Linked DNA regions of Macaca mulatta. The protein of the gene in region 1 interacts with the protein of each later gene in a pairwise test. Links are inferred from orthologs where the notes say so. Each region holds a gene or a part of one and is shown in the gene's direction. Other genes may lie near its edges.

Region 1 (4,172 bases):
GGCATGGGCAAGGACTTCATGTCTAAAACACCAAAAGCAATGGCAACAAAAGCCAGAATTGACAAATGGGATCTAATTAAACTAAAGAGCTTCTGCATAGCAAAAGAAACTACCATCAGAGTGAACAGGCAACCTACAGAATGGGAGAAAAGTTTTACAATCTACCTATCTGACAAAGGGCTAATATCCATAATCTACAAAGAACTTAAATTTACAAGAAAACATCAAACAACCCCATCAGAAAGTGGGCAAAGGATATGAACAGACACTTCTCAAAAGAACCCATTTATGCAGCTAACAGACACATGAAAAAATGCTCATCATCACTGGCCATCAGAGAAATGCAAATCAAAACCACAATGAGATACCATCTCACACCAGTTAGGATGGCAGTCATTAAAAAGTCAGGAAACAACAGGTGCTGGAGAGGATGTGGAGAAATAGGAACTCTTTTACATTGTTGGTGGGACTGTAAACTAGTTCAACCATTGTGAAAGACAGTGTGGCGATTCCTCAAGGATCTAGTACTAGAAATACCATTTGACCCAGCCATGCCGTTACTGGGTAAATACCCAAAGGATTATAAATCATGCTACTATAAAGACGCATGCTCACATATGTTTATTTTGGCACTATTCACAATAGCAAAGACTTGGAACCAACCCAAATGTCCATCAGTGACAGACTGGATTAAGAAAATGTGGCACATATACACCATGAAATACTATACAGCCATAAAAAAAGATGAGCTCATGTTCTTTGTAGGGACATGGATGAAGCTGGAAATCATCATTCTCAGCAAACTATCAGCAGGACAAAAACCGAACACCGAATGTTCTCACTCATAGGTGGGAATTGAACAATGAGAACACTTGGACACAGGAAGGGGAACATCACACACCGGGGCCTGTCATGGGGTGGGGGTAGCGGGGAGGGATAGCATTAGGAGATATACTTAATGTAAATGAGGAGTTAATGAGTACAGCACACCAACATGACACATGGATACATATGTAACAAACCTTCACATTGTGCACAGGTACCCTAGAACTTAAAGTGTAATAATAATAATAATAATAATAATAATAATAATAAACATTTCTATTACTCTTAATTGCCACAGACACCAATATGTCTGATGTCTATTGTTTCTGCTAAAACTTCTTTTTCTATGTTTCTATGTTTTGTGACTTCTATATATCTCAGTATATCAATATACAGTTGGCACTTACAAAAACTACCAGATGGCCATTGGACGTACTTCCTGTTACATGGCAAACCCAATAATCTCAGTGCACTAAGTGTTGTTTTTAGTCATTTCCTCTTAGCTTTGTGCTAGGTGTTGTTTCAAGAAGCTAGTTAATAATAGTTTTATTTTACTAGCTGGTATCAAAAGAATCATGCAAATTAACTCATTATCAGAAGAATCATATGAAGTAGATACTTCTTTTATCTCTCTCTCTTTTTTTTTTTTAATGAGGAAATGGAGGCATCAAGATCATAAGTCTCAGGACTAGTTTAAGTGGCCAAGTAGTCTCCCTCCAGAGATAAACCTTTTAACTCTCAAGCAGGACCGTCTCTCCTAACTATTGAGATAACACTGTGGAAGTGGGAAACATCAATTTTAAAGAAATTTTAGTTTGTTTAATTTTATTTTTAATCTCTCTAATCTTTTTAGGATATAAATGTTAATCCTGAGATTACTGCACTACAGACTATGCTTGCTGAATGCCAAGAAAAGCTTAAGGAGCTGACTTTGATAGAGAAAAGGTTAGACTGTTTAGAACAAAAAATGAAAGGAAATGTGATGGTAGATGAAAACACCTGGACTAATCTGCTCAGTCGTGTCACTCTTCTTGAAACAGAAATGCTTTTGTCTAAAAAGGTATTTTCTTCTTTTAACATTTATAAAATATCTCAGATATAACAAAGTAATTTTTTGATTGTTGTATGTGTATTTTTTTGGAAATGCTAAATATGAGAATATTTGAATAATGAGAAAATGTCTAGTTAGAATGAAGTCCTGTTTAAATATAGCCTGAATGGTGTTGTGGCTGTTGTTTCTCTCTTCATTGAATAAGATGATCTGAAAAACTTGTAAGTTGAGCTTTTACAGATGTTAATGATGCTTGAAGAACTTAAAATGAGGTAAGAGTATGATAGATATTATGAAAAGCTTAGAATTATTTTGTATCTTTTAATAGTACAAATGACCTATTTTCGTAGGGTGGAAAAGATACAGAAGATATTGATAACTCTTCCTGTCTTTTTTTCACTCATTTACTTCAATCATTGTGAATTTCATAGAATAGTTACCAAATTTATCATTGCCTTATCAAATCTGAGAAATTTGTTTCTTTTACTCAGGATTTCGATTTCTGGTCTGTCTTTCCTTCCTAAAAAGTGAAGTTGATAGATTCAAGAAGCTTGCTATCTGCTTCCATATTTAAAACATTTCTTATATGTAGGAATATACAGTATATGCATTGCTTTAATACAAAATTAAAAATATTTAAACATTTATCATGCTACCTTTATATTTTATGCTCAGTAGTAAGAATATAAAATGAGAGGGTTTTTCTTTTTATTTCATTCTGAATATTTAACTGTGTTATTCCAGAATGATGAATATGTAGAGTTTAATGAAATTAATGAAGACTGCGCTTCTTGTAGCAACATGGACCTTCTGAATCCTCGTAAGTTTGTAAACATTATGAGAATTGGTATGATGAGTTTTCAGAAAAATGATTGTTATAGGTATTTGGTAATTTTAATATTCTTAAGCTTCATTGTTTAGAAATTGCAAAGCTCCTAGAACAAAGAAAATAATGAACCTATAGACTACTAAAGCCAAGAATTGCTTATGAAGCCAGCCTACTTATTTTACATAACACAGTGGGTAAATAAATTTCAGTGTACAAAATTGAAACTGTTTAGAGATATTTTACTGTTTTAATCATTCTAGAATAATCAAGTGTTCTAGAATTTTAAAATTGACCTCCAAGTTTTTAAATTTAAGCTTAGGTAGGTAGTAGCTTTCTCATATGTAAATAATAATATGTAAGAGAAGAAAACACATTTGTCAGTAACCTATAAAGTATTGCAAACCTCTTCCATGTGAATGGTTCACTGATAATGATAAAATGGGAAAGATCTGATATTAGAACAGGTCTTTTCCTGGTCACATAACTTTACTAGGCTAATGATATTTTGCTCAGTGTGACTGAGCAGCAAGGATAAGATTTCTGTTTTGCAGTGACAGCTTTGTTTTTTTTGATTCTTACATTTTTTTAAAAGACAGATCTAAATTTTGTGCCGTGTCTATGATTAAATCATATCCATAGAAGAGATGTTTTGTCCAATTGAGAATTCATCAAGTTAAATTTTTAATATCTGGATCGTTAACATAAAATCTTTCAGCTTTACTATATGTGTAACAATAAAATAACAATATATATTCTAGCACTAACAGTGTGCCTGGCACTATTCTAACTACTATATTAACTCATTTAATTCCTGAAGTAACCATGCAAGATAAGTACTATTTTTATATTTTACAGTTGAGGAAACTGAAGTACACAAAATTAAGTAACTATGACAAAGGTCACACAGTTATTGAATGGTAGATCAAATTTGAATCCAGGCAACTGATCTGAAGTTTTTTCTTAACCACTGCATATTTGGAACACATATCAATATCATTGCACAAAGAACAATTTCAGTGATTAGGTTATTAAATATAATTATTTGAGATGCTATTTAAGGCAACTAAATTTATTATAGACTGCAGATTTCAGATTTGGTAAAATGTTGCCTGTTTTATTTATCCATTCATATATCTATTCAACAAATGTTAACACTTGAGTATAAGATCCTTGAGAGCAAAAACTTTATCTTATGGTCTGCCTGTCTAGCACACAGAAAGTGTATCTGTGCTTTTATCACCAGTATTTGCATATAGTGGAGTTTAAATATTTATTCACTGAAAAAATATTGAATGCTTGTGATTTGCAAAACATTGCCTTTTGCAAGTTTGATTTTGCATGCTCAGGCCTATTTTTTTTTAATGACATGATTATAGAATATACCTTTAACCTATTTAGAAAACACATGGCTAGGTTTTTTTTGAGATAAGGGTGGTCTTACTCTGTTGCTCAGGCTGGAGTGCAGTG
Region 2 (3,700 bases), on another chromosome or scaffold:
AATTGAGGGAAGAACTGTTAAGCAAAAAGAAAGCAGGATTCAATGATATGAGAAATTTTCAGCCTATCCAGATTGCAAAAAGACACCAAAATTAGGAAATTCATTGCCACGAAATCATCCTCCAGAGATAAAATCAAGGGCATAGCTAGACATCCTTTTGCTAGTGCCTTTAAGGGATCAAAAGATCAAAATATTCAATCACACAGATGGTGTTTTGAAGAGATATGGGGTGTGCTTCTCAGAATAAGCAAGGGATTGTCTATGAAGGATCTTGAAGAAACCTCTTGTCTAATCACATGAATCCCCATGACATACATAAAAGACCTATAAGTTTTTGAGAATGTTATATCAGCAGAAACAATGCCAGCTTAGACGGAAAGGGACAAATAGAGGAAGAAATGAAAGAAGGCCATAGGACTCCCAAAATTTGACAGGAGAAAGCAGGCTGATAAAACTACTCAGCTGTAAACATATGCTACCATTCAAAATAAAGGAACAATGACTGAGGGCAGAACCTAGAGGCCAGAGGGCAGATTTATGACCCCAGGTGAAGTCATAGGATCAGAGTGATCAAAGGGAGGAGTCTTAAGTCATAGAATATTCCCAGGCCTTGAAACCTAATGGTTGGATTTTGAAATTGTTTGGATTTAAGACTCTTTTGTTCTTTCTACTTTTTCCCCTATGGAATGGCAAAGTTATTGGCTGTAAATGAACCAAAGTCAAAGGGAAAACACAGAATTACTAGAAAGGAAAATTAAATAATAGAAAAGAAACATCTCTTAGTGCTTTTGCTTCACCTAGGAGAGACAAGAAATATACATCTGGGCTTAAACTGAGCACAAGATGCACTTCTCCGAGACGGGCGGATCACAAGGTCAGGAGATCGAGACCATCCTGGCGAACACGGTGAAACCCCATCTCTACTAAAAAGTACAAAAAAAAAAAAAAAACTAGCCGGGCGAGGTGGCGGGCGCCTGTAGTCCCAGCTACTCGGGAGGCTGAGGCAGGAGAATGGCGTGAACCCAGGAGGCGGAGCTTGCAGTGAGCCGAGATCTGGCCACTGCACTCCAGCCTACGCAACAGAGCGAGACTCCGTCTCAAAAAAAAAAAAAAAAAAAAAAAAAAAAAAAAAAAAAGATGCACTTCCCTATCAACTGTTTACCTGACACTGACAGGTAAACTTATTGAGCATCTTATTATTAATTGAAAAATGATTAAAATATATTTTTCAACCATTATGGAAAACAGTATGGCAATTCCTCAAGGATCTAGAACTAGAAATACCATTTGACTCAGCCATCCCATTACTGGGGATATACCCAAAGGATTATAAATCATGCTGCTATAAAGACACATACACATGTATGTTTATTGCAGCACTATTCACAATAGCAAAGACTTGGAATCAACCCAAATGTCCATCAGTGACAGACTGGATTAAGAAAATGTGGCACATATACACCATGGAATACTATGAAGCCATAAAAAAGGATGAGTTCGTGTCCTTTGTAGGCACATGGATGCAGCTGGAAACCATCATTCTCAGCAAACTATCGCAAGAACAGAAAACCAAACACTGCATGTTCTCACTCATAGGTGGGAATTGAAGAATGAGATCACTTGGACACAGGAAGGGGAACATCACACACTGGGGTCTATTGTGGGGAGGGGGGAGGGGGGCGGGATAGCATTAGGAGATATACCTAATGTAAATGACGAGTTAATGGGTGCAGCACACCAACATGGCACATGTATACATATGTAACAAACCTGCACATTGTGCACATGTACCCTAGAACTTAAAGTATAATAATAAAAAATAAAAATAAAAAAATAAATAAAATGCATTTTTCAAATAGGGTAAAATCATGACACTCATACAGATACGAAATGAACACATGCTACAAGAAAAAGATGTTATGACTGCTTCAAAAGGGAAACCAAAGAGTCGATATGGGAATATTCATCAGTAATATTAAATGATTGTGCACATGGAGGCAAAACTGGTTTCATAAGGTGAAGACAACTGAACCTCTACTAAAGAATATACTGTACACGTATCAGCCACCTACAACTAACAAAAGGCTATAAAAGACTTCACAGATAATGTAAGGCTAGAATCAGATAACCTGCAGTGGTGTCCTAAAGATAGAGCAAAGTTTTCCATTGAAACACACTTTTATTTTTATAATGTCAAAATCAGGTAAAGAGTTATAGTTCCCTCAAAATCAGGGTTCAGTCATTAGGGTGACTAGATCAGTGTCACAGACATTTCTAAGCTGAGGTCTGATCAGGGACCAGTGGACACCAGTGAAATCACAAAGCCTAGGGATGTCACAAAGGCAGCTAGCTCCCTGACCAATCAGGGCCTGGAGCAGAGGGATCCAATAGGCAGCACCAGCGTCCTCAGAGACTTACTTGAGCTGGAGAATCAAGCAGAGCTGATCAGAGCCAAACCCAGCAAATATCATGTCAGAGAAAAATAACCGTAAGAACTCCTCTGCAAATAACAACCAGATTCAAGACCGGTCTAGAAATGAGCTGCGGGTCCCTATGAGCTTCGTGGACCGAGTTGTGCAAGATGAACAAGATGCCCAAAGCCAGAGTTCCTCCACAATAAATATCCTCCTTACCCTGCTCGATTGCCTTGCTGACTACATCATGGAGCAGGTAGGCTTGGAGGCCATCAACAATGGCAGGATGCGCAACACTTCACAAGATGGGGAGAGAGAAGGGGACAACCACCATGAGCCCCACCGCACTGAGAGTGATGGAACCCGCTTTGTGTTTGATGAGATGCCCAAATCCGGAAAGAATGACTGAAGACTGGGTCCCAGAGCCTTGAGGGGATCCTCACAGGCTTAGCCAGGGCAAAAATGTGTCACAGCTGAGGAATATCTGCTGTTGTCATCAACAAGTGCTACTAAAGGATGTAAATCCATGAGTATGTTTCTGACTCCTTCCAGTTTCCGTCTTTTTGGGTTGTAGGTGTCTGTGAGACATCAAGGAGAAGCTATCCCCAGAGAGCTGAAGTTGGGGGGGGGGGCGGGAAGTGGTGGCCAGTGTGGAGTGTTTGAATCAGTGATTTAGAGGGGGCAGTTTCCAACGGTGACAGAGAGGGCACGGGCCCTGTGGGGAGGAACTGGCTGGGATAAAGACACCGAGACTTCCTAATTGCCTCTGAACAGGAAGGCCTTGTGAGGCCGGGGAGTTGGCTGGGGGCCTCTGAGGCTTGCTGAATTCCCAGCCTGATGCTGGGGCCTGGGGTGGAGCTGCAGACTCTGACTGAAGTGCAGGAGGCAGAGGGTGGTGGCCACAGGGGCGGGTGGAGAGGGGGCACACTGGCTGGCATGAAGTTCATGGGATAGGGACTTTACATGGAGATTGAGAGTGAAGGAGAAACCATGATGAAAAATGCAAAAAAGAAATGATGGCCTGCTGGATTTCATTTCTTATTTCTTTATGCCCTGACTTATTATGAAAGAGGATTTGAGACAGGGATTAGTAGCTAGTGCTGTGAATATATCTTTCTGTCCTCTCTTCAGGACACTGGTAAAATAAATCATAATAATACATAAAATTTATGATCTGGCCTAAGATGGGCAATTCAAGAAGTTCTTAATGGTTGTTAATTATTAATGAATCAGCTTAATTATATATGTATTTCATTTAAAACACAATTAACAATTTCATTTTTAAA
Region 3 (4,172 bases), on another chromosome or scaffold:
TCATCATACCCAAACTGGACTTACCTGCAAGGCTCCTTCCCTTCCCCATCCAAAAAAATGGAGTTATTTTCCCTTATTTCAGCAAGTCCAGTTGATTTTACCTTTGAAGTAGCACCTGAATCCTTCACCTTCTCTCCATCCCTTCTCTCTCACCTGACATAAGTCCCCAGTGCTCCTCCAGTAGGCAGGACAGCCATTCCTTGGGGATGCACATGTCTAGTCTTTGCCTAGATATAGCAAGTCTTTGCCTACTGAGCTAGGCTGTCATGTTCTTAGAAGCATTGTTTTTGCCCATTCTTCCCATTTACAAGAGAATCAGGGACACAGAAGTGAGGGCTTCCAACCCCATAGGTGATCAATCCTGGGGTCAGAGATTTGAGTGTGTTTATTGCTTGGCTTCTTGGGAGCAGATTCCATCCATAAACCATGTACTTACCAAAGTCTGACTCACTGGGAGAGAAACGAGGTGAGCTTGGAAAGATGACCTTCCAGAGACTTGGGGCCCATGTTGTGTGGTACACATGGGAGTCCAGCATATCAGATTGAGATGGGGGGCTGGGCAAAGTGCCCTGGTCTTTGGCTGTGGGGCCACCCTGAGAAAAGGAGCTCCTGACAAGCTGACGGCTCCCACCATCTTTGCTGCAGCATATCGACAAAGTCTTCAAACACAAGGACCTACAACAGCAGCTGGTGGATGCCAAGCTCCAGCAGGCCCAGGAGATGCTAAAGGAGGCAGAAGAGCGGCACCAACGGGAGAAGGATTTTGTGAGGCTTAGGCCCAAGGGTTGGGATGGGGGTGTGGGAGGAGGCAGGTTGGGCTGTGGCTCAGTTCATAGCCGGGTTATATGGGAGAAGTTGTCTGGCCAGACCAGGCACAGATTCCTTGAGTATCAGTCTGAGAGCAGGAAACCTTGGTGGGTTTGGTGCTTGTGGCTAAAAACCAAACATAGCCCCTGGGGGCTTCTGACAGGATCTGGGGTTCTGTCTTGGAAATAGCTCCTGAAAGAGGCAGTAGAGTCCCAGAGGATGTGTGAGCTGATGAAGCAGCAAGAGACCCACCTGAAGCAACAGGTGAGAGCATATAACCTGACCCTGTGCCTTCAAGGTCCCCTCACTGGGCCCCATCCTGGGGGTAGTGAAATGGGACCCTCATTCTAGGACTGGCTGTGTCCTGGCTGCTATGAGACCTTGGTTGAGCCTTTGTTCTCTCTGGACCTGCACAGTACCTATATGGTGGTGACCAGGTAGTTAGGTGGGCTCAGAGGATTTCATTTGTAGCTCAGAAATGTTGTATTGCTTTTGAGGAGGTGGGAACAAAAGAGTTTGAAAATCAACATAAAGGCAAAATAAAAGTCACCCTAAGTCTCCTACTTTCCAGGCTTAGCATTTTGGATTATATCCTTCCAAATACATAGCTTTGCTTTGTTTTAAGGAAAAATAGTATCTCAATAGAATTACTGGGTCAGAGGGTCAAGGACAGGTCTGAGTGTGTTGACCAGAGTGCCTCCCAGAGAAACCCAATCTTATCTGTGGGCTGCTTTCTCCCCCAGCTTGCCTTATACACAGAGAAGTTTGAGGAGTTCCAGAACACACTTTCCAAAAGCAGCGAGGTGTTCACCACATTCAAGCAGGAGATGGAAAAGGTAACTGTGGTCCAGGCCACGCATGGCTCCTGGAGCATAAGCTGCTTCATTCAAAATGGTTGGGCCTGCCTTCAGGAAGCTCCCATCTGGGGTGTCTCAAGGGTGGGGCTGTTAGGAGAGTTCACAGCCTTTCCCCTCTCGAGGCAGTATCAGTGGTGTGTATACCCTCCAGGTTGTCCCGGGGAATGGGGCAGCCATTTCTTTTGTTTGTTTGTTTGTTTTGAGATGGAGTCTCGCCCTGTTTCACTGGCTGGAGTGCAGTGGCACGATCTCAGCTCATTGCAGCCTTTGTGCCCCGTGTTAAAGTGATTCTCCTGCCTCAGCCTCCTGAGTAGCTGGAATTACAGGCACGTGCCACCATGCCTGGCCTTTTTTTTTTTTTTTTTTTTTTTTTTTTTTGGTATTTTTAGTAGAGACAGGGTTTCACCATGTTGGCCAGGGTGGTCTTGAACTCTTGGCCTCAAGTGATCCACCCACCCTGGCCTCCCAAAGTGCTGGGATTCTGGCCCCTTACCATTTCTTGTTGTTAGTGGTGGACACTTGTGACTTCTGGTGGTAAGGTGGCACAGAGGGCATTGACTGCACCCTGTAATCAGTCAGTCCCCACCTTGGAGACACAGGTGCACAGAGAGGCCGGCTCTGACCATTTCCTTCTGTCTGTCACATAACCTAGATGACTAAGAAGATCAAGAAGCTGGAGAAAGAAACCACGATGTACCGGTCCCGGTGGGAGAGCAGCAACAAGGCCCTCCTTGAGATGGCTGAGGAGGTGGGCTGTCTGTGATCTGCAGCCAGGGTGGGGGTGTGCACTTAGCGCATATCAGGCCCTTTCCTGTGTGTTCTACCCATCAGTGACACAGCTAGCATGAGGTAGAGGTGAGATTTGCACACATTGTCCAAGTCCAAAGTTAATGCTGTTCTCTCCCCATGGGAGATGGTGAGCCCAGTGGTAGGTCTCCAGTGGGAGTGAAGGGAGCAAATGGAAGAAAGGAATAAAAGAGCAGAAAAAACAGGGGTGCCAGTGATGTGCCTGGTTTACATGTAAAGCAGCCCAGGTAATTTGTGATTTCATGGCTTCTAATGTAGAAGAAAGGAACTAACACTGATGGAGCAGCAACGACAAGCCAGACCTTGCTGAATGTTTTTGGGTTTGTCTTTTTTTTTTTTTGCTGCTGAATGTTTTTAGGTACGTGGTTCATTGAACCTTCTCTTGAGATCCGAGGATGGTATTAGTAGTCCTGTTTTACAGATGAGACAGGCTCAAAAGCCAAGTCCTTTGCCAAGGTCATGTGGTAGATAAATGGAGGAATATGTTATGTCCAAGCCGAGCCCCTTTTCTGCACCACACTGCCCCACCTGACAGTCTAGTCATGGCTTCAACCAGGACTGTTTCCTAGAGGGGGCCAGCTTCGGACTCAGTCTGCTCCCAGCCTTGTTAAAAGTGTTTGTCACCAAGTAGTGATGGTAAGTGGGAGGTTGATGGGGCATGGCACTGAAGGTCTCATTTCTCTCCCTAGAAAACAGTCCGGGATAAAGAACTGGAGGGCCTGCAGGTAAAAATCCAACGGCTGGAGAAGCTGTGCCGGGCGCTGCAGACAGAGCGCAATGACCTGAACAAGAGGGTACAGGACCTGAGTGCTGGTGGCCAGGGCTCCCTCACTGACAGTGGCCCTGAAAGGAGGCCAGAGGGGCCTGGGGCTCAAGCACCCAGCTCCCCCAGGGTCACAGAAGCACCTTGCTACCCAGGAGCACCGAGCACAGAAGCATCAGGCCAGACTGGGCCTCAAGAGCCCACCTCTGCCAGAGCCTAGAGAGCCTGGTGCTGGGGCATGCTGGGAAGGGAGCAGCAGCCCAGCCAGGCCTGGCCCATAAAAAGCTCCCATGCTGAGCAGCCCATTGCTGAAGCCAGGATGTTCTGACCTGGCTGGCATCTGACACTTGCAATTTTGGATTTTGTGGGTCAGTTTTACGTACATATGGCATATTGCAAGGCCTAATGCATTTATACCTATAAGTGTACAGTGGGCTTGCATTGGGGATAGGGGTGTGTACAGATGAAGTCAGTGGCTCCTCTGTCAGCTGAAGAGTCTTGAGAGGGGCTGTCATCTGTAGCTGCCATCACAGTGAGTTGGCAGGACAAGTGACTTGAGCATTTCTCTGCCTGACTTGAGGCTCAGACCCCTCCTTGCCCTTCAGAGCTCAAGACAAGTGATACACCCAGGTCTTGACTGCATTTCTCTTGTGAGTAGGGCTTGCTTGGGCAGCTCAGGCCCTCCGAGCTGCTCTGGAGGCTCCTTTGATTCTCTGGACCTGGAAAAGGTGTCCCTAGGCAGAGACCTGGCAGGGCGCTCAGAGCTGGTGATTTCCTGCCTAGGATCAGGGACCTGGAGAATGTTTCTGTGTGGGACGATGTGCTGGTCAGGAGCCCCTTGGGCATCACTTCCCCTGCCCTTTGGTAGTGCCAGGACCAGGCCAATGATGCTTCTCAGTAGCCTTATCATTCACAGGTGCCTCTCTAGCCTGCACAAA
Region 4 (4,853 bases), on another chromosome or scaffold:
CCAAAGACAAATCACTGTAGGATCAATTTGTATGTAAAATAAGTTCTAGTCTCATTATACCTGACCTGATTATTTGCATAAAGTACAGCAAGAATAATGATTCACCATATAGGCTTTTGTTTTCGAATGGGCTTTGCTGGACCTTTTAAAATAAGGAATTTCTGACTTTTAAAAGCCTTGAGATCAGTCAACCCAAGGATTTGCCGTCAGATTGTGCCTGTAATACCTAGATGAATGGATGTGTTATTCCTCTTTTCTCAGGGTCCCAAAATAGGTTGCTGGACCTATCAGAAAGTGACATTTTTTACTTACTGCGAGGACAGAAACTTTGTAAAGGAACCTTACAGACCAGCTACCAGGCCAGTCTTTTTAAGAGGCTTTTTTTATTGGTGCTCTAAAGTTAACCTCCATTCTGGTCATACCTAAAAACATGTCATTCCAGTCAAAGCCTTAGTAAAATAACCAGTGTCTCCAATTGTGTTCTATTACCAAAGAAAATAGTTTTTTATTGAAAACTAATGCAAATAATATATTGCCATAAACTGAGAATACTCACAAACAGCTTCCAAGTTCTGGAGAGAGCAGAGAGAAAGGTAAATGCCTCAAAGTTTTGTTCACAAAGGTATATTTTATCTAATGTGTTGTAAGTTAAAAACGGTTCAAAAGGAAAATGTTTTCTTGACTCAGGAAAACAAAACATAAGAGATCATCAATGTTTCAAATAAAAATGTCATAAAAGATCTTTTTATTCCTCTATCAGTTCAGTCCCATGTAGCTAATTCTTGTTCTGTTTGATGTTGGGTTAGCAATTCTCATGCAACTTTTTAATCAGAGCCCTGGAAGACTTTTCCTAGTCTGATGGCATTATCTCCAAAGTTATCAGAAATCTGTGTTTAAGAGTACTGATCAGAGTCCTTTGCATGAAAAGTAATTTGGGTTGTAGCTGATTGGAAAGCTTTTTAGAGAAGAATTCAAAACAATAACTGTGGATTACAAAAACTTAGCCATGGCTAAAACCTGATAAAAGTTGTCAATTGTCAGGAAAATGTAGTTATTTCTATTATATGTAGCATTTTAAGATAACAACCAGAACCATGACTGACAGCATCACATCAGGACCATCTGATTTTTATAATAATATAATCTTAAGAATATTTCTACTAATAATGTATCTACACAAATATAACTTTTAAAAAGATTTAACATATCAAAATTACGACTCATAGCATGTGAGACTTTTATAAACGTATGTAATTTTTAGTACATTTATATCAATAGCGCACCCATAAACATAACCAAAAGAAGATCCAGTATTATTTAGCATTTGATAATGTCTCCCATACAACTTTACCAGATAAATCCTACCAAAGATGTTAAAAGATTCAGAACATTTGATCAAAACGAACTACAGGTCATTTTAAAATAATAGTTATTCATTTAACTAGCATGACAGTCAAAGGACCTCAAAAGTAAGTAACAGAAAGTTACATGGGCGGTTTCCTGGTTATACAAAATAATTCAGACATATCATAAAGCCAAGAGTATAAGATTATATTACATTTGAGGAAAACATTGCTTTTCTAAACTTTAAGATAAATATGTTAGCATTATGCCATAAGAACAGCATTAGGGCTGGGGTAAAAAATTGTAGGAGTTCATGAAAAAGTTGAAGAAGAGTTATCAGACCAGCCAAGCAAAAAGATATGTTTTTTTCAAGGGGAAAAAAACAGAAGATAATGAATGTGATCTGCAACTTATATGTAACAAGGTACAGGAAAAGTTGAACTTCTGAGATATAAATCTGACATTTTAATTTTAGAATTTAAAGTCAATATTTCTTGCAATATCATTGAGAGCAAATCAATACTTCAAAAAATTTTGTGGCTTTAACCAAAATTTTTAGTTTTGTGTTAGTGCATTTTTAATATTACAGCTAATTTTAATAAGACCTTATAAACAAATCTATTCAATCTCAGTTAGTTTTGACTGCAAGATAAGATTTCCGTAAACCTTTTATAACCTCTTCCAATTTGTTATATTTTCATTCTTTAACTTTCTATATTTATTTAGTTTTATCTATAATTTTTTTATTCCTTCAATTTAAAACAATCCTTTAGAACCTCTAAACTAGGCAAAATTACTTGCCCTTAAATGAAAACCATATTCCTGTCTTCTTATGTGTTTACCAAAAACACATCCTATTTTTCTTATACATTTTGCATATAGAATTGTTTCTCTTGTATCTAGTAGTTTCAATTACATATATAAGTCACAATATTAACTCTTAGTAATCCTTATTTTAGGGAAGAACCTAGGAGGTAAGAACTCTTGAATTGTCTGTCATATATCAGTATTTTATAGATAAAATATTATAATTTATGTATTTTAAAACCATTTTTTAACCTTTAGAAACATTTCCTTATACATTTTCTTAATTGGAAGTGACCCAGCTGCTCAGTAAGTATGATAACTTCAAGATTTTCAAAAACATAAGAATTTCATTTATTACGTTTATCTAATTTATTTGTTTTTAACAGTTTATCTAGATTAGTTATGAGAACAGAGATATTAGACAAAGCTGGTCATCATTTTAAGTTTTTTCCTTGTTAACCATTTCACAGCTTGTGAATATCAGGTGTTCACCTAAGTAAGAACTTTGAAGTGAAATACATGGATATTTTGCTGATAAATCAGAGGATTTCATTGTTGTCATTAAACCAACAATATTAGTCTTATTTATCAAAAGAATCACGTAAACAAAGATTATTCTGTTTTGGCTAGGTTTATAATTTCGTGACTTTTGTGCCAAACCTGGACATCTTAAAATAACTAGCAGATGCACATGTCAGCTGACCAGTAAACACAGGCAAAATCACATGCTGACAATTCTGAAGACATATCTATTTTTATTTTATCAATAATTTTAAATTGGTTTTATTTTCCAAAGATTATTAAAGTCACATGAACTTGAAAAGCTTTTGGGCTTATTTATTTAATGTATCAGTACTCTTTTATTTATAAGCTCATTTGATACCATATAGAAACAACACATAACATAATGCATGTATATGCGTAAACGAGACAGTTGGATCAAACTTATTTTCCTGATAAAATTAGAACCTGTTCACATAGCTCAACTTTATTTGCCCTGATGAGCAAAGCAGTTTCCATGGCACTTTGATTTTAAAAGACCTCTTTCATTTTTTTTTTCTTTAGCCAGTAACCTTAAACTAGTAATACCATGAACAGTAAGTTTTATCTCAACACTAGTAAAAAAGTCAGCAGATTCAAAGTAGTCAAGAAGAAAAGACAGGCAAATAACTTAGAAGACTACATGACAACTCTTTAGGGGCAGAAGAAGAAAGAGGGTTTGACTGACATTTTTTCCATGTGCCATTTTTCTTCAGGTTTTCTAGTTTATGGAGTTGCTTTGTTCTAATTGAGTGTGCGGATAAACTACTCTGGAGCTCTCATAAGGCTTCTGCTGGAGCCATCACAGTCTTTAACCTTTGTTAAGCCAAACATTGATACACAGACCAAAAATACAGACAGATCAACAAAAATCAGAACCAGACTAGATTATCTCAGTGGCTGCAGCTTTTTACTATTGCCTTAATTCTTTGTGACTTGAACATACACCAGATTTGGGACTCTAACCTGACCAGAATCCCCCTTGGGTAGGACTCAAACCCACAGTCCTAGACAAGGGTGGGACTCTCATCCATAATCCTAAACCACAGGGTGGGACCTGAACCCACAGTCCTTATGATGAGTTCAAAGACAATTAAAAGTACAGGTATGTATTAACAAGGTACTCACCAGAAAGATGTCTAATCCAGAAGCAATTTCTTTTCCCAAAGGAAAAGTGCCAAGGGAACCTGAAGTGCCATGGTAGAGAAGCAGGAACCCTATAGTTGAGCCTCTGAACGCACTGGTCTAGGTGGCTACTCAGGATCAGTGCAGGGGGCCTGCACACCACTAGGGGCAACAGTACCTTGAACAGGCTGTTCGTCTCACCTGGGGTTCTAGTTTGTTATCAAGCAAAAGGGGCTCACTGCCCAATATGCTAGAAGCCAATACTGACACCAAGTTTTTGAAAAAAAGAAAAGCTTTATATTAAAAGTCACCTCTGAAGGAGGCAGGAGTCAAGCTCAAATTTGTCTCTCTGTGCTGGCATTAAAGCAGTATTTTTATTAGAAAAGGTTCAGGGGGTGGATTCTGAGATTAGCAGGTGATTGGTACAAGGAAAAGGGAGGTCTGGAAAGTCCTTGGGCATGCACAGTTATTTCTTCATGTTAACTCCTGAGTTGCATGTGCAAATTCAGGGGGAATTAGTACAAAACATGTGGTGGAAATTCAGCCTACGACATCAGCAAGCTTATTGTGTGCAAGCTCCAGTCAGCCATTTTGGTTCCAACCAATTTCCGCCAGGTTTTTCTAGATCTCGCAAGTGGAGGGAGTTTCAGCAGCTTAAATTTCTTTTCTTATCTGCTATCCCGAAACTCAAAAATTTCTGTTAGTTACTGATTTCTTACTCTTTGGGACTTTCCATATCTCCCATTTCCATCTACCAATCACCTACTAATCTCGGAATCTACCCCCGGAAACTTTTCTAATAAAAATACTGCCTTAATGTCAGCACCGAGAGACGGGTTTGAGTTTGACTCTTGTCTCCTTGGGAGTTGACTTTGAATATACAAGTTTTTCTTTTTTAAAGAACGTAGTGTTTTAGTATTGGCTTCTATTGCATTGGGCATTAAGCCCCTTCAGCTCTATCACACTAACTCCAGGTAGATAGCATCAGAATGAAATGGAATTGTAGGGCACACAGTTGATGTCAGAGAATTAAGGAA
Region 5 (4,172 bases), on another chromosome or scaffold:
ACGACCACATCTTTTTAAACCCAGTGATTCATAAGTTCTCAGGGAATTTGACTATAGTTAGAAATGGGTCCAGACCTTCTTCACTGCCCTAAGCAGTCTGCCAGTCTTTGCTTTGAGTGGAAAAGAAAATAAAAAGATGCATTTATATACAGCTCAAAAAACTTCTCTGACTGCTTTTCATACCTATTATTTTATTTTCTTAACACTGAGGTAGGAGGGAGCACCTATTTTCCCATTTCCTTTTATTTTTATTTTTATTTTGAGACAGTGTCTTGTTCTGTCACCCAGGCTGGAGTGCAGCAGTGCAATCTCAGCTCACTACAGTCTCCACCTCCTGGGCTCAAGTGATCCTCCCACTGCAGCCTCCTGAGTAACTGGAACCATAGGCACGTGCCAGCATTCCCGACAAATTTTTTGTGTTTTTGGTAGAGATGGAGTTTCACAATGTTGCCCAGGCTGGTCTCAAACTCCTGAGCTCAAGTGATCCACTCAGCATAGCCTCCCAAAGTGCTGGGATTACAGGTATTATGAGCCACCATGCCCGGCCGTATTTTCCCATTTTATAGATGAGAAGGTTAAAATGCACATCTCGAATTAGTGAGTCAAGTTGAAGACCCAGGCCTTCTGATATAACTGCTTTTTTTTTTTTGTCATGAGATCACACATTTTAAAATTTGGTTCTTGAATAATATCTTTTCAAAAATACTTACCTTTACTCCAGCTTCTTTTTTAAAAGAATTTGAGGTGAGATTCTAAAGTATAAGCTATACTTAAGCATGGGAGTGCTCATAAATTATGTTTCATGTATGTGGAACCTCTTGACATTCAGCATAGGCATTTAGCCACAGTGAATGAGCTGTTAGTTCCTGGGTGTGCCTTCTTCCAGAAGACACTGGCAGGGTTCAGGCAGCATTATCTTATGAGCATGTAGTGTGTGATTTGTAGAATAAATAGGTTAAAGATCTTTTTTATTTCAATAAAAATGACTATTTAATTCCGCTGATTCCCATTTCCTCCTGATTATTTCATAAAAGCAGCTTCCAGTTCTGAATAGCTTGTAATTACTTACTAGTTCTTAAATACTGTTCCCAGAATCACTTGGGTGGCTTAAAAAAAAAAAAAAAAGCACATTTCTGGGCTCCAAGCCAAACCTATAGAAGCAGACTCTGGGACGCATGAAAGTTCTTCAGTTGACATGGATGTCCACCAATGATGGGTTAGTTTTAGAGGCCCCAGTACATTTGGTGGCCTCCTTCCCTAACTGCCCTCTCCTCTGAAAAAAGCAGCAGGTGGGTAACATAGCCCAATGGAATAAAGGTATTATTTTGAAATTGCCATTTTATCGATCCCTGAACCAAAGTCACTAACTAGAGGAAGAGAACAGGCATGTTTGTGGCTAAAAGGAAGGATGCATTGTAGTTCATCCTGAGTATGTATCTGCTATGTTTTTGCAGCATTGGGCTCTAATGGAAGAGCTAAATCGCAGCAAGAAGGACTTTGAAGCAATCATTCAAGCCAAGAACAAAGAATTAGAGCAGACCAAGGTACTGGAAAGAAGATGGAAGTTTAGAATTTGGTTAGTGCATGCAACTCAGCATTTTCAACAGTGTAAGGGTTGCTATGGAGAATGAAGAGAGAAATCATGGCTGCTCCTTGCCTCTGGGGAAATAATCTATAAGATTATAGAGGTCTATAGAAGATTCTGCCTGTCAGACAACATCTATTTCCTTCCCTTGTTCAGAAGCAAAATGCTAGGAATAAGGCACTTGCATCCTGCATTCTAGTCCTTTGTCTATGGTGGGTACTCCTTCAGGGTGTGTCACTGATACAGACTGAGGAATATTGTAGTCAAGAAATAGTTCCTCCTGAACTATGTAATTTGAATTACATAAAGTAAAGTGAATTACTTAATGCAATTCCTTCCTGTGTCAAATCAGGAGAACTCTTGAATTAGGGGTTATAAACTTAAATGCCCACCAGGGCCAGACTGGTAATCTAAGTGAGTGAAGTGGCCTGAATGTGAGAACACAGTAGGGAGCTGTGTGGGCTATGGTTCATTGGATGGGGTATTTGCCCACACCCCCATCCCAGGAGGCAACTCTTCTCTGCTCAGCCAATTGTTGCCGTCCAGAAGTGCAGGCCCAGTGTTGTCAGATCTTCTGATTTTTCCACAGCAGATGAAAGTCCAAATGTTTAAGTGAAATATCCCAAAGTTTAAATATTGGCAACAACTTCAGCTTTTTGTGTGTGTTTTCTTTAATGTGAAGGCCAAATTAAACAAGTCTGCAGGGTGGATCCAGTCCACAGGCCACCAATTTGCAACCTCTGACCTGACATTAATACCTGAGTCTGACTGCATCTCTCATCCCACCCCCTCCATGTACAGACCTAGAGCTGAAGGAGGGACTTTAGTTGGTTTGATTTCCTGTTTAAATCACATAATACCTTCCTCTTCAACCTCCAAGAAACTACCACATCTTTTTAAACCCAGTGATTCCTAAGTTCTCAGGGAATTTGACTATAGTTAAGGGGGTCCAGACTTTCTTCACTGCCCTGAGCAGTCTGCCAGTCTGCTTTGAGTGGAAAAGAAAACAAAAAGATGAAAAATGAGCCGGCCACTCAAATATACCTCAAATGGCCTATCCTGTCCCCCTCAGGGGCTCTTAATGCTTTCTGTTTTGGGGGTGAAGTGCTAAAATAAATGTCTGCTTCAAGAGAGCATACCTAGGATCCTCCTTAAAAAGCGTGTTCACCCGCAGTCTGACCTCTTGGGGAAAGCCGAGGAGATGGTACTGCAGGCCTCTGCAGGCGTGGGAAGTGGCAGGTATCATAGAGCATGGAGCCTGAAGGTAATTCAAGAGGCCTTTCTCCAGCCTTCTGCCTCCAGAGGTGTGCCTTACTTTATAGAAAAGGCAGCTGCAAAGAACACTTTAACTTTATAACTAATTCAAGTTTCCTGCCTCTCTGGACTATTCATGCGTCTTTTCTTGTCCAGTGAGTTTTTCATTATTTGGGATGATCTTATGTAACGTCCGAACTACGGCTTGCTATAAACTACTTAATGTCCCATCTGGTCTTGGGTGGTTGGTGTGGTTAGTATACCACCTGCATTTTTCTCATTTGACTAATTTTGGGGAAGGAGACAGAAACTGCAATGCAAATACTGAAAAAGTGGTGTTTTAGTCCATTCAGGCTACTACAAAAAAGACCCATAAACTGCATAGCTTACAAACAACAGAAATTTATTTCTCACAGTACTGGAGGTTGGGAAATCCAAGATCAAGATACTGGCATATTTGGTGTCTGGTGAGGGCTATCTTCTGTTTCATAGATAGAGTCTTGCTGTGTCCCTACATGGTAGAAGGGGCACATGAGCTCTCCTTGGGCCCCTTTTATAAAGGCCACTAACCCGATTTATGAGCATGGAGCCCTCATGACCTAGTCACCTCCCAAAGGCCCCACCTCTTAATACCATCACATTTGAAAATAAGTGTCAACATGGGAATTTGGGAGGAAGCACAAACATTCACACCATAGCAAGTAGGGAGAGGAAAGAAAGAAGGTTAGTGCTCTGCATTAGAAAACAATTATTAACAATAACCCTTAGGGAAAGTGTTCTTAATGTTGCTATACCAGAATGAATCATTCATTAAGACTGAATCCTCTTCTAAATAATTAACCCTGCTCCCTGTCCCCTTTTGCATTTTTGTTGGTTATCTGAATGACAGGTAGGATTGTGTGTCTTGCAGGAAGAGAAGGAGAAGGTGCAAGCACAGAAGGAAGAAGTTCTCAGCCACATGAATGATGTGCTAGAGAATGAGCTCCAATGTATTATTTGTTCAGAATACTTCATTGAGGTAATGAAGTTGCTCACCCCTTCTTTTTTTTTTTTTTTTTTTTTTTTTTTTTGAGAGAGTCTTACTCTGTCACCCAGGCTGGAGTGCAGTGCTGCGATCTTGGCTCACTGCAACCCCCACTTCCCGGGCTCAAGCAGTTCTTGTGCCTCAGCCTCCTGAGTAGCTGGGATTACAGGCACATGCCACCACGCCTGGCTAAATTTTAGTATTTTTAGTAGACATGGGGTTTTGCCATGTTGGCCAGGCTGGTCTCGAATTCCTGACCTCAGGTGATCTGCCCACCTCGGCCTCCCAAAGTGCTGGGATTACAGGTGT
Region 6 (4,927 bases), on another chromosome or scaffold:
GAAAACATGCTGGAGGACATTTATATAAAATTTAAGAACAGGCAAAACTAATCTAGCAGGGTAGAAATGGTAATAGTGGCAGTAAGGGAGTTTGACTGGAAGAGGGATCAGGGAACCTTCTGGGATACTGGAAGTGCTCTTTAATCTTGGAGGTGGTTATAGAAGTCTACGCATATGTAAAAATTCATTGAGATGTACACTTAAGAATATGTATTTTGGCCGGGCGCGGTGGCTCAAGCCTGTAATCCCAGCACTTTGGGAGGCCGAGACGGGCGGATCACGAAGTCAGGAGATCGAGACCATCCTGGCTAACACAGTGAAACCCCGTCTCTACTAAAAATACAAAAACTTAGCCGGGCGAGGTGGCGGGCGCCTGTAGTCCCAGCTACTCGGGAGGCTGAGGCAGGAGAATGGCGTAAACCCGGGAGGCGGAGCTTGCAGTGAGCTGAGATCCGGCCACTGCAGTCCAGCCTGGGTGACAGAGCGAGACTCCGTCTCAAAAAAAAAAAAAAAAAAAAAAAGAATATGTATTTTATGTAATACCACATAAGACTTTTTTAAAAAAATACTTAAAAAGAAAATAAAAGAAAAAACATAATTTAACAGAGGGCATAGTTCTCAAACTGTTTTCTCTGTCTCAGGACCCCTTTACACACGTTACTGAGGATCCCCAAGAGCTTTTAGTTTTGTGGGTTATATTTACTATGGACATTAAAGTTGAGAAATGTTTAAAAAAAATACACAATTCCATTAGCTGTTAGAGCAGTGATATCATCACGTCAAGCAGCCTCTGGAAAACTTGACTGTTCACTCTGAGAGAATGAAAAAGACAAGTAACATCTTAGTATTATTATGAAAGTAATTTTGGCTTCGGGGACTCCTAAACCGAGTGAGTTTAGGAAATCTCAGGGGTCCCCAGACGACACTTTGAGAACCGCTGGCCCAGGGGGAAAATGACAGAAGAAAACACACTACACGACAACAGTTATTCTCTCTCAGTGCTGGGATTATAATTTATTTGCTTCTTTGTGCTTTTCTGTTAAAAAAAAAAAAATAAAAAGGAAAGGAAAACAGAAATGGAAAATACAATGACCACGTATTGTTTCTGCGAACAAAAAATGAGACAGCACACTCGCCTCCCTAAGATTTTTGAAAGGCCCAAACAGCAATAGCACATTTAGCTGCATGGAAGAATTAAACTGAGCTCAAACCTGAAAATAAGAGTCCGATTTCCCGTTTGTCAATCCCTGGGCTGTGAAGTGCAGGGTCTTGCCCTCAAAAACTCCACGGTTCACCTTGGGGAGAGAATGTACTCGCATACATACCTGTGCTGCAAGGTTCCCAGGGCCCCAAGGGCAGCGGTTGCATCCTACACAGTATTGTAAACTCCGGTGTGCAGCAAAACCACCCATCGCAGCTGCAAGCCGCTCCAAACCGCTCCCAGCCGCTCCAAGCCGAAGTTCAGCCCTCAAACTAGTCAGAGACCCTCCGCAGGACGCATGCGCGCTTACAAACGCAGAGTTAGGTGGGGCTTGAGGGAGACTGACACAGAGTTCGGCCTCTCAACTTTCTAGCTCCGCCCGCATGTCCTGTCTCCTTCTCTGAATGGCTGAAAGGCTGCGGAAGTAAGCTTCCCACGGGCCGCGGACGGAACCCACATCCGGTTTGCACAGCGATCCCGACGGCGCGGAGGCAGCTATGGTGCGGTTCAAGCACAGGTAAGCATTCCCTTCCAGACCCACCCAGCGCCTTGCCAGGTCCCCGCGGCGCCGCTAGCGCCCACCTTCCTCTCGCCTGCCGCAGGTACCTGCTCTGCGAATTGGTGTCTGACGACCCCCGCTGCCGCCTAAGCCTCGATGACCGAGTTCTGAGCAGCCTCGTACGGGACACTATCGCCAGGGTGCACGGGACTTTCGGCGCAGCCGCCTGCTCCATCGGCTTCGCGGGTGCGAGAGCGTTGGGGGAAGAGGGGAACCCGGGAGGATGGCGGGACGTGGAGGGGGCAGGCGCCGGAGGAAGAAAGAAGGGGCACGAGTGGCCAAGCCCGTGCATCGTTTTTTGTAAGGTATCTCTTTAAGCGCCGGGGACCGCAAGCGAGAGATCCACACGAGTCCGAAATTAGCAGAGAGCTAAAAGGAGGGGCCCGAAGGCAGTGGGTCTTTGAGCTAGAGGCCTCTTTTTGCCTGCTTGACAGGTAATTTCTGTAATTGGTTGTGATTGAATTTGATAGGATAGAGAATTAAATGAGGGAAGCTGTATCTAGTTCCTAGTAAGAGCTATTATGACCGATTACATTAACATCACATGGAAAAAAATTGTCGAAAGTATCCTTGGGAATGCCCTTAGTTGGTAAAGTACAGAACACATGATCGTCAATATATGTGAATACAGGATGAGCCGGGACAAAGAGGGGCCCGGGGCCCTTCTTCCACACCATTTATATTAGTTCCCCCTTTTACCTTGCTTGAGGATTGACTTCTGGAGAGTTAAATGCAGATAGGCTTAACTCATCCTTAAGTCAGGTGAGACTCAGCTGACTGCTACAAGAATTACAGAGCCCAACTGCAGTAAAACAGCCTATTTTTCAGGCGAGGGTTTTTCCTAAATTAAAATGGATCGCCCTCCTACCTGCTCCTATTTATTGAATTAACTAGTGAATTAGAAAGCATGTTAGATTCTAAATTCATTCACCAGTTCTGAGTGGTGTGCAACACAGTGGGTGTTTTGGCTTTTCTCTTTTACTCGCTGAAAGATCCTACGTGCCACTTGTGCTCTGTTACTCTAAAGTTTTTTTGTTTTTTTTTTTTTTTTTGAGACAGTCTTCTGTTGCCCAGGCTGCTGGAGTGCAGCAGGGAGATCACAGGTCACTGCTGCCCCCACCTCCTGGGTTCAGGCGATTCTCATGACTCAGTCTCCTGAGTGGCTGGAATTACATGCGTGCACCACCACGCCCGGCTAATTTTTGTATTTTTAGTAGAGACGGGTTTTCATCATGTTGGCCAGGCTGGCCTCGAACTCCTGACGTAAAGTGATCTGCCCGCCTCAGCCTCCCAAAGTGCTGGGATTACAGGTGTGAGCCACCACACACAGCAAAATTTTCCGAAATGATTTTTTTTTCCCTGTTGTAGTTCGATACCTCAATGCCTATACTGGAATAGTGCTACTTCGATGCAGAAAAGAGTTCTATCAGCTTGTGTGGTCAGCTCTTCCCTTCATCACATACCTGGAGAACAAAGGACACCGTTACCCATGCTTTTTCAACACGTTACATGTGGGAGGTAGGAGTGACGTGATACGGCTACTGATTTTCAATAGGTGACATGTTCAGAGTTCAGTCTAGACTGGTGGGTGGGTCTTCCTGCTGTCCCGCTAACAAGACACTTCCCCTACCTCTGAAAGTAAGGTCGAGACCTTTCACAAGCTGTTGACCGCAGTAACTCACATGCCAGGTACAATAAGAACATGTCAGAAGTTCCTAATTCAGTACAACAGGAGACAGCTGTTGATCTTGTTGCAGAACTGCACTGATGAAGGTAAGCAATACTAGCCCAGTGCCCGCTGAGCAGTGACTGACCTCGAGCTGAAGAAATCACTCCCAAAGACATCTTTCATCCCTATCTGCCTTCTCCAGGAGAGCGGGAAGCTATCCAGAAGTCTGTGACAAGAAGCTGCTTACTAGAGGAGGAGGAAGAGTCAGGTGAGGAGGCTGCAGAAGCAATGGAGTGACCCTCTGCTCACCACACAGCAGGCTACACTGCTCAGGCTTCGGGCCCACTTGTTGAACAGAACAATCTGGGTAGCAACAGCATCTTCTACAGTTTTCCAAGCTGGATAGCTGCCAACCAGCGGACATGTTACCCACTTGAAATAGAGTACTCAGTTAAACTGAAGTTGCCTTTACCTAGCATTCCCTGGTTAAGTGTTGCAGGTTGTGAACTCTATGTAGACATCTTTATTGCTTGGCTAAGAGTAGATTTAATAAATGTATTTGGTTTCCGTGGCATTTAGTATACTTATGTTACAAAAAGGGCTTATGGAGTCCATGCTTGGCTAAGTCTCTGTTCTCTATCCCTAGCCTTGGTGGGAAGAGTGACTCCCTGTGTGGTACTAAACTTTTTTATTGAGACAGTCTCACTCTGTCACCCAGGCTGGAGTGTACTGGCCCAATCTCGGCTCACTGCAACCTCCACCTCCCGGGTTCAAGCAATTCTCCCACCTCAGCCTTCCAAGTAGCTGGGATTACAGACGTGCACCACCACACCTGGCTAATTTTTGTATTTTTAGTAGAGACAGGGTTTTGCCATGTTGGCCAGGCTGCTGTTGAACTCCTGGCCTCAAGTGATTGGCCTGCCTTGGCCTCCCAAAGTGCTGGGATTAAAGGCGTGAGCCACTGTGCCTGGCCTAAATTTTCAATACTTAGCCTTCTACCTGAAGCTGTGTACCCCCGGCCCCAAGATGGGCCCTAAGCAAGACAAGTCATTTGGAATAGAAATATTAGCTGAGACACAGCAAATGAACTGGCAGAGATCTATAGTCCGTCTCAGTACTGAACCACAGGGTCTTATAGATACCAGATTCCTTGCCAACAGTTAATCAGGTAACTGCAAAAATGCAACTTTGGGCCGGGCGCGGTGGCTCATGCCTGTAATCCCAGCACTTTGGGAGGCTGAGGCAGGCGGATCACGAGGTCAGGAGATCAAGACCATCCTGCCTAACACGGTGACACCCTGTCTCCACTACAAACACAAAAAATTAGCCGGGCATGGTGGCAGGTGCCTGTAATCCCAGCTACTCAGGAGGCTGAGGCAGGAGAATGGCATGAACCCAGGAGGCGGAGCTTGCAGTGAGCTGAGATTGCGCCACTGCACTCCAGCCTGGGTGACACAGGGAGACTCCATCTCAAACAAACAATGCAACTTTTGCAGTT
Region 7 (4,614 bases), on another chromosome or scaffold:
CTCCCTCCTGGGCCTGGCTCTTCCAGCACGTTCCATGCAGCAGGCAAGTGGGCCAGGCCCAGGGATTCCTGACAGCTTGCTGGCCCCAGAGTCCGGATTCTTTTTGTTTGTTGGCTGGCGCTGGGCCTCTGGATTGGAGATGCCCAGGGCGCAGGGGGCCCGCGGGGGTCCGTAGCAGGGCCTCGGCCCCTCCCTTTGCAGGGGCTCGTCTGGCCCCTACTGGTCTCTCCTTCTCCTCATTTATCTCTCCCTTTCTACTTCTTGGCTCTGGGTCCAGTCCTATCTCCCTGTTTCGGTTTGTCTTTTCCTAGCCCTCTGCGCTCTCTCTGTCTCTCTTGGCCCTGCTTGTCTCACTGTCTCTGGTTGGGGGTCTGTCTCTTTCGCTTCCACTTTTGCTCTATTTCCTGGCTACTGTCTTTCCTTTCTCCTTGTCTGTCTCTTCTCCTCCCCTCAGCCTGCATCTCTGTCTCTCCCTTTCTCTCCTGCTCCCTCCCTCCCTCCTCTCCATCACCTTCCAATGCCAGGTGGGGCTGCCGTTCCTTCCACCTTCCCAGTGACCCACCAGTGTGACTGCCTTGAGAGGAAAGTCCTAAACTGTCCCATCTTCACCAACCTGCCCACAAATCATTGGTTCAAATTGCTCTGGAGAAGTTTGGGAGCTCCCAGGGTAGCGGCTTTCTAACAGCTCTGCCTAGCTCAGGCCTGTCCCCAACCACAGCGTGGAGGGCAGCCACAGACAACCTCTCTGCACCTTCTGATGCCTCCGTGCCCCATCCACAGAGGCCTGGCTCGGGGAGACTGGGGACTCTGGGACATCCCTAACATGGCATGCAGTGGCCGTGTGGGAGGCCCTGACTGCCCCTCTGGAGCCCTGGGCCCAGGGACTCCAGACCAGTGCCTCTCTGGATTGGGATGGGGATGTCAGGCCAGCAGGATCATGGTGCCTGCCTCCAGGGAGGGCAACGTCCACCCACTGAGTCCAGCCCGCCCACCCCGCCCACCCCGCCCACTCTGGAGCACCTGGCTGTGTCCTCAGGAACCCCCTGAGCTTTGCACACAGGGCGGAGACACCTGGATTTCTCTGGTCCCGTGAGTGGGGCCAGCTTGGAAGAATTTCCCAAAGCCTATTAGAGCGACGGCTGCCTCCTGCCTGCCTCCTTGGGCTGGGCAGGGCTGAGGGCGGAGGGAGAGAGAGAGGGAGGGGGAGAGGAGGAAGGAAAAAGTTGGCAGGCGGACAGCAGAGCCGTGTCTGCATCCATCCAGAGGAGGTCCGTGCGGTGTGGGGCGGGCCAGGAGTGAAGAGAGGCCTTCCTCCCTTTGTGCTCCCCCCGCCCCCCGGCCCTATAAATAGGCCCAGCCCAGGCTGTGGCTCAGCTCTCAGAGGGAGTTGAGCACCCGGCAGCGGTCTCAGGCCAAGCCCCCTGCCAGCATGGCCAGCGAGTTCAAGAAGAAGCTCTTCTGGAGGGCAGTGGTGGCCGAGTTCCTGGCCACGACCCTCTTTGTCTTCATCAGCATTGGCTCTGCCCTGGGCTTCAAATACCCGGTGGGGAACAACCAGACGGTGGTCCAGGACAATGTGAAGGTGTCGCTGGCCTTCGGACTGAGCATCGCCACGCTGGCACAGAGCGTGGGTCACATCAGTGGCGCCCACCTCAACCCGGCTGTCACGCTGGGGCTGCTGCTCAGCTGCCAGATCAGCATCTTCCGTGCCCTCATGTACATCATCGCCCAGTGCGTGGGGGCCATCGTCGCCGCCGCCATCCTCTCGGGCATCACCTCCTCCCTGCCTGGGAACTCGCTCGGCCGCAATGATGTGAGTGGGGTGTCCCCGAGCTTGGGGGGTTCTAGAATGATGCTGAAAGGCACCAGTTCCATCCTCTGCCCATCGTGCAGATGCGGACACTGAGGAATGGAGAGGACAAGAGGTTGCTGGAGGTCACATAGAGAGCCGGGGGGGAGAGCTGGGGCTGGAACTCAGTTATGCATGCCTCCCAGAGCCTGTTTTCTGCCAGGCACTGTGGGAAGCTGAGATCAAGAGAATAATGGTCTTGCCAATGTCCCCTGCAGGGCATCTATTATGGGGAATAAGCTTGGCCAGCAGCTCCTCGCCCCTTGGCTGTAGCTTTTTGGCCCTTCTCAGTCCTGCCTGTGCCACCAACTCCCTCCTCCCCCAGCCCTGCACCCTGGGGAAACTTCGCCCGCTTTCCCCAGCCACCCTGAACCAGATGCCCAGCCTGTCTGCAGCTGGTTCTGCAGGTGTGTGAACAGGACTCCCTCAGGGAGCCCCCCATGTTCACACAGGTTTCCAAACAAACCACCTCTAGGAATCCAGAGAAAGGCCGTCTTCCACTCTTCCGCCCCTGGGAATTAGACAAAGATAAGGCAGTGAAAACTCTTTCTGGGGCTGTTTGAAGGCAGTTTTCCTGGATTACAGTATGGGCTGGGGGGCAAGTGCTGGGCTCCATGGTCTCCAGGCACTGAGAGGTGTGGCGTGTGTGTGTGTGTGGGTGGGTGTGCGCGCATGTGCGTGTGTGCATGTACGTGTGCGTGTGTGTGTGTGAAGGTGTGTATGTGTGCATGCGTCTGCCAGCATGAGTCTCTGTGCTTGTGTAAACTGTGTGCATGTTTGTGCTGCTGTGTTAGGGTGTGTGGGGGTGAGTTTGCAACCACACGTGCCCATGGCTCCCGGCTTGAATGGGGTCTGGACTGGGGTCACTAATGACAAGCAGATGCTGGTGACTGGGTGGCAGCTGTGGAAAAGAATGTCTCCTGGGCTGCTTAGCATGGCAAAGTGGCCGCTGGTGGCAGCCGCCTGCTGTCCCAGACCTGGCCTTTCCCAGCTCCTCAGACAAGTGCAAACTCAGGCTGGGCTTGGGCAACAGCAGGGGGAGATTTGGCCTGAGAGACTGAGGAAGGCTTGGAGGATGTCTGAGGGCCCAAGGGACAGGTGAGCAGGCTTTGGGGTGCCCTCACAGGGAGGGAGAGGTTAAGGAGCAGAGAGGAGGACTTGTCTGGAGAGATGAGGCTGGCAGGGCTGTAGGCAGGGCAGGTGGGTGTGGGGACTGTGTGGGTCATCTCGGAGGGCGCCTCAGAGATGGCAGTAGTGATTACAGCAGCTGTCCTCTCGCTTCTCAGTCAAAGTTCAGATCCTGCAGCTGACAGCCTGGGGGAGGCTAGGTGAAGGTCTGGTGCAGAGGGCAGCTGGCTCAGCCCAGCCACGGGGGGCTTAGCGCTTTTGTGTCACGGTGACACCTCACCCAGCCTCCTCTGCAGCCAACCTCTGCTTGGCCCAAGATTGAAGATTACCTCCATGGGCTGGAGTTTAGACTTTAGCCAGTTTAGACGTGGCTGCGGGGTATGTACGGGACAGAGTTCAGGCAGGCCATGTCAAGCTCTGCCCCCAGGCCTCAGTTTCCAGTGGGGGCAGAGCTTGTGGCCTCGGGGAGTTCCACTGGGTAGGGTCAAGCTCACACTGAAGCTTGGCTGGGTATGCTGGGCTGGGGAAGCGTCCCTGTAGGGGAGGGGATGTGATTCCTAGACTTTCTGACCCCATATCGTCCCTCCCATCTCACAGGGCAGAACCTCTGCACATGCTGGCAGAGGCTTCACACTCTAGTATGTGCATCCGAGCCAGAGGCGGGAGGGCGGGCCCCTTCTGTGCCATCTGGATCAGAGGCCACACCCGACTCCTGTGCCCCATTCCCTCCCTGGCCTTCATTTTTTATAGTCACCCCAATACTTGGGCTGGGCGTGTTGCAAATGGGAGAGAAAGAGGAGCAGCCTAGTGTGGGAGCCGGCCCTGGGCTGGGAGGCAGACACCTGGGTTCAAGACCTGTCTGCTGCTAACTTATTGAGCTTTATTGGAGCTGTGGACCCTGACCCTCGAGAGGGGACTTAAGTGTTGTGACCTCACAGCCACACCCAGACAGCCAGCTCACTTCATTGCTTTGAGCTTATCACGCATCCCACAAAGGCTGGCTAAGAGCAGCCCAGCAGGGGCAGTGCTGAACATAAGGGTGCTAAGCATGATGGTGGGGGCTCAGGCACTGCCCTGTCCCGACAGTGGAAGGGTGGGGGTCAGAAGCTCAACTCTGGGCCTAGAAATAGAGAAGGTACCCCCCTAAAGGCTCCCGTCAGACACTGGCCCTGGAACTGGAGGGGTCTCAGGCGTGGCCTGGATGCCTCAAGAGGAGCAGGGAACCGTCTGAGCAGCAGGTGACACACTGTCCTTCATGACCTGGGGGAGGCTCCTGCAGCCTCTCTGGCCCTGAGCCCCACCCCGGCCAAAACCTGGGTGGGGCAAGTGGTTGGCATGGAGATTTCCAAGGAAAACAGAGAAAGAAGTGGCAGGAAGTGGTTGCAGTGAGTCAGGGGGTGTCCCTTCGGGACATGTTGGGGACAACTTTCTCCTGACTGAGTCAGGGCTCAGGATACGCCCTAGAGAGACCGTGGGCCTCCATCCGGCCTGCAAGGTCCCGGTTAGTACTAAGAGCCATATACCAATTTTAGCCAAGGGTGAGAGGCTCTGAGGCTGGGGTGGACACTCTTGCCTGTCCCTGTCCTAGCTCAGCCACTAATACCATGTGGCATTACACAACAGACCGGCCTGTGTGG

What was found.
Region 2: the proteins of CEP44 (region 1) and H2AP interact in binary tests that used the Homo sapiens proteins (3 or more experiments, as listed by UniProt). The two-hybrid records come from large-scale screens. The link is inferred for Macaca mulatta from reciprocal best matches to the Homo sapiens genes CEP44 and H2AP.
Region 3: the proteins of CEP44 (region 1) and TXLNA interact in binary tests that used the Homo sapiens proteins (3 or more experiments, as listed by UniProt). The two-hybrid records come from large-scale screens. The link is inferred for Macaca mulatta from reciprocal best matches to the Homo sapiens genes CEP44 and TXLNA.
Region 4: the proteins of CEP44 (region 1) and CBY2 interact in binary tests that used the Homo sapiens proteins (3 or more experiments, as listed by UniProt). The two-hybrid records come from large-scale screens. The link is inferred for Macaca mulatta from reciprocal best matches to the Homo sapiens genes CEP44 and CBY2.
Region 5: the proteins of CEP44 (region 1) and RNF8 interact in binary tests that used the Homo sapiens proteins (3 or more experiments, as listed by UniProt). The two-hybrid records come from large-scale screens. The link is inferred for Macaca mulatta from reciprocal best matches to the Homo sapiens genes CEP44 and RNF8.
Region 6: the proteins of CEP44 (region 1) and POP5 interact in binary tests that used the Homo sapiens proteins (3 or more experiments, as listed by UniProt). The two-hybrid records come from large-scale screens. The link is inferred for Macaca mulatta from reciprocal best matches to the Homo sapiens genes CEP44 and POP5.
Region 7: the proteins of CEP44 (region 1) and AQP1 interact in binary tests that used the Homo sapiens proteins (3 or more experiments, as listed by UniProt). The link is inferred for Macaca mulatta from reciprocal best matches to the Homo sapiens genes CEP44 and AQP1.

Annotation. Positions count from the first base shown.
Region 1 is NC_133410.1:182,747,027-182,751,198, forward strand, and holds part of CEP44 (centrosomal protein of 44 kDa), read left to right. Parts: intron 1-1,678; coding exon 1,679-1,885; intron 1,886-2,620; coding exon 2,621-2,696; intron 2,697-4,172. UniProt on the Homo sapiens protein: Centriole-enriched microtubule-binding protein involved in centriole biogenesis. In collaboration with CEP295 and POC1B, is required for the centriole-to-centrosome conversion by ensuring the formation of bona fide centriole wall.
Region 2 is NC_133426.1:37,817,399-37,821,098, forward strand, and holds H2AP (huntingtin-interacting protein M), read left to right. Parts: upstream 1-1,698; 5' UTR 1,699-2,469; coding exon 2,470-2,823; 3' UTR 2,824-3,002; downstream 3,003-3,700.
Region 3 is NC_133406.1:208,688,182-208,692,353, reverse strand, and holds part of TXLNA (alpha-taxilin), read left to right. Parts: intron 1-645; coding exon 646-765; intron 766-996; coding exon 997-1,071; intron 1,072-1,550; coding exon 1,551-1,643; intron 1,644-2,316; coding exon 2,317-2,412; intron 2,413-3,160; coding exon 3,161-3,454; 3' UTR 3,455-4,172. UniProt on the Homo sapiens protein: May be involved in intracellular vesicle traffic and potentially in calcium-dependent exocytosis in neuroendocrine cells.
Region 4 is NC_133422.1:24,969,765-24,974,617, forward strand, and holds the start of CBY2 (protein chibby homolog 2), read left to right. Parts: upstream 1-1,657; coding exon 1,658-1,768; intron 1,769-4,853.
Region 5 is NC_133409.1:144,861,243-144,865,414, reverse strand, and holds part of RNF8 (E3 ubiquitin-protein ligase RNF8), read left to right. Parts: intron 1-1,454; coding exon 1,455-1,544; exon of another isoform or gene 1,545-1,576; intron 1,577-3,749; coding exon 3,750-3,857; intron 3,858-4,172. UniProt on the Homo sapiens protein: E3 ubiquitin-protein ligase that plays a key role in DNA damage signaling via 2 distinct roles: by mediating the 'Lys-63'-linked ubiquitination of histones H2A and H2AX and promoting the recruitment of DNA repair proteins at double-strand breaks (DSBs) sites, and by catalyzing 'Lys-48'-linked ubiquitination to remove target proteins from DNA damage sites.
Region 6 is NC_133416.1:127,902,569-127,907,495, reverse strand, and holds POP5 (ribonuclease P/MRP protein subunit POP5), read left to right. Parts: upstream 1-1,678; 5' UTR 1,679-1,698; coding exon 1,699-1,718; intron 1,719-1,803; coding exon 1,804-1,946; coding exon of another isoform or gene 1,947-2,065; intron 2,066-3,128; coding exon 3,129-3,278; intron 3,279-3,403; coding exon of another isoform or gene 3,404-3,449; coding exon 3,450-3,533; intron 3,534-3,631; coding exon 3,632-3,726; 3' UTR 3,727-3,998; downstream 3,999-4,927. UniProt on the Homo sapiens protein: Component of ribonuclease P, a protein complex that generates mature tRNA molecules by cleaving their 5'-ends. Also a component of the MRP ribonuclease complex, which cleaves pre-rRNA sequences.
Region 7 is NC_133408.1:97,463,913-97,468,526, reverse strand, and holds the start of AQP1 (aquaporin-1), read left to right. Parts: upstream 1-1,372; 5' UTR 1,373-1,429; coding exon 1,430-1,813; intron 1,814-4,614. UniProt on the Homo sapiens protein: Forms a water channel that facilitates the transport of water across cell membranes, playing a crucial role in water homeostasis in various tissues.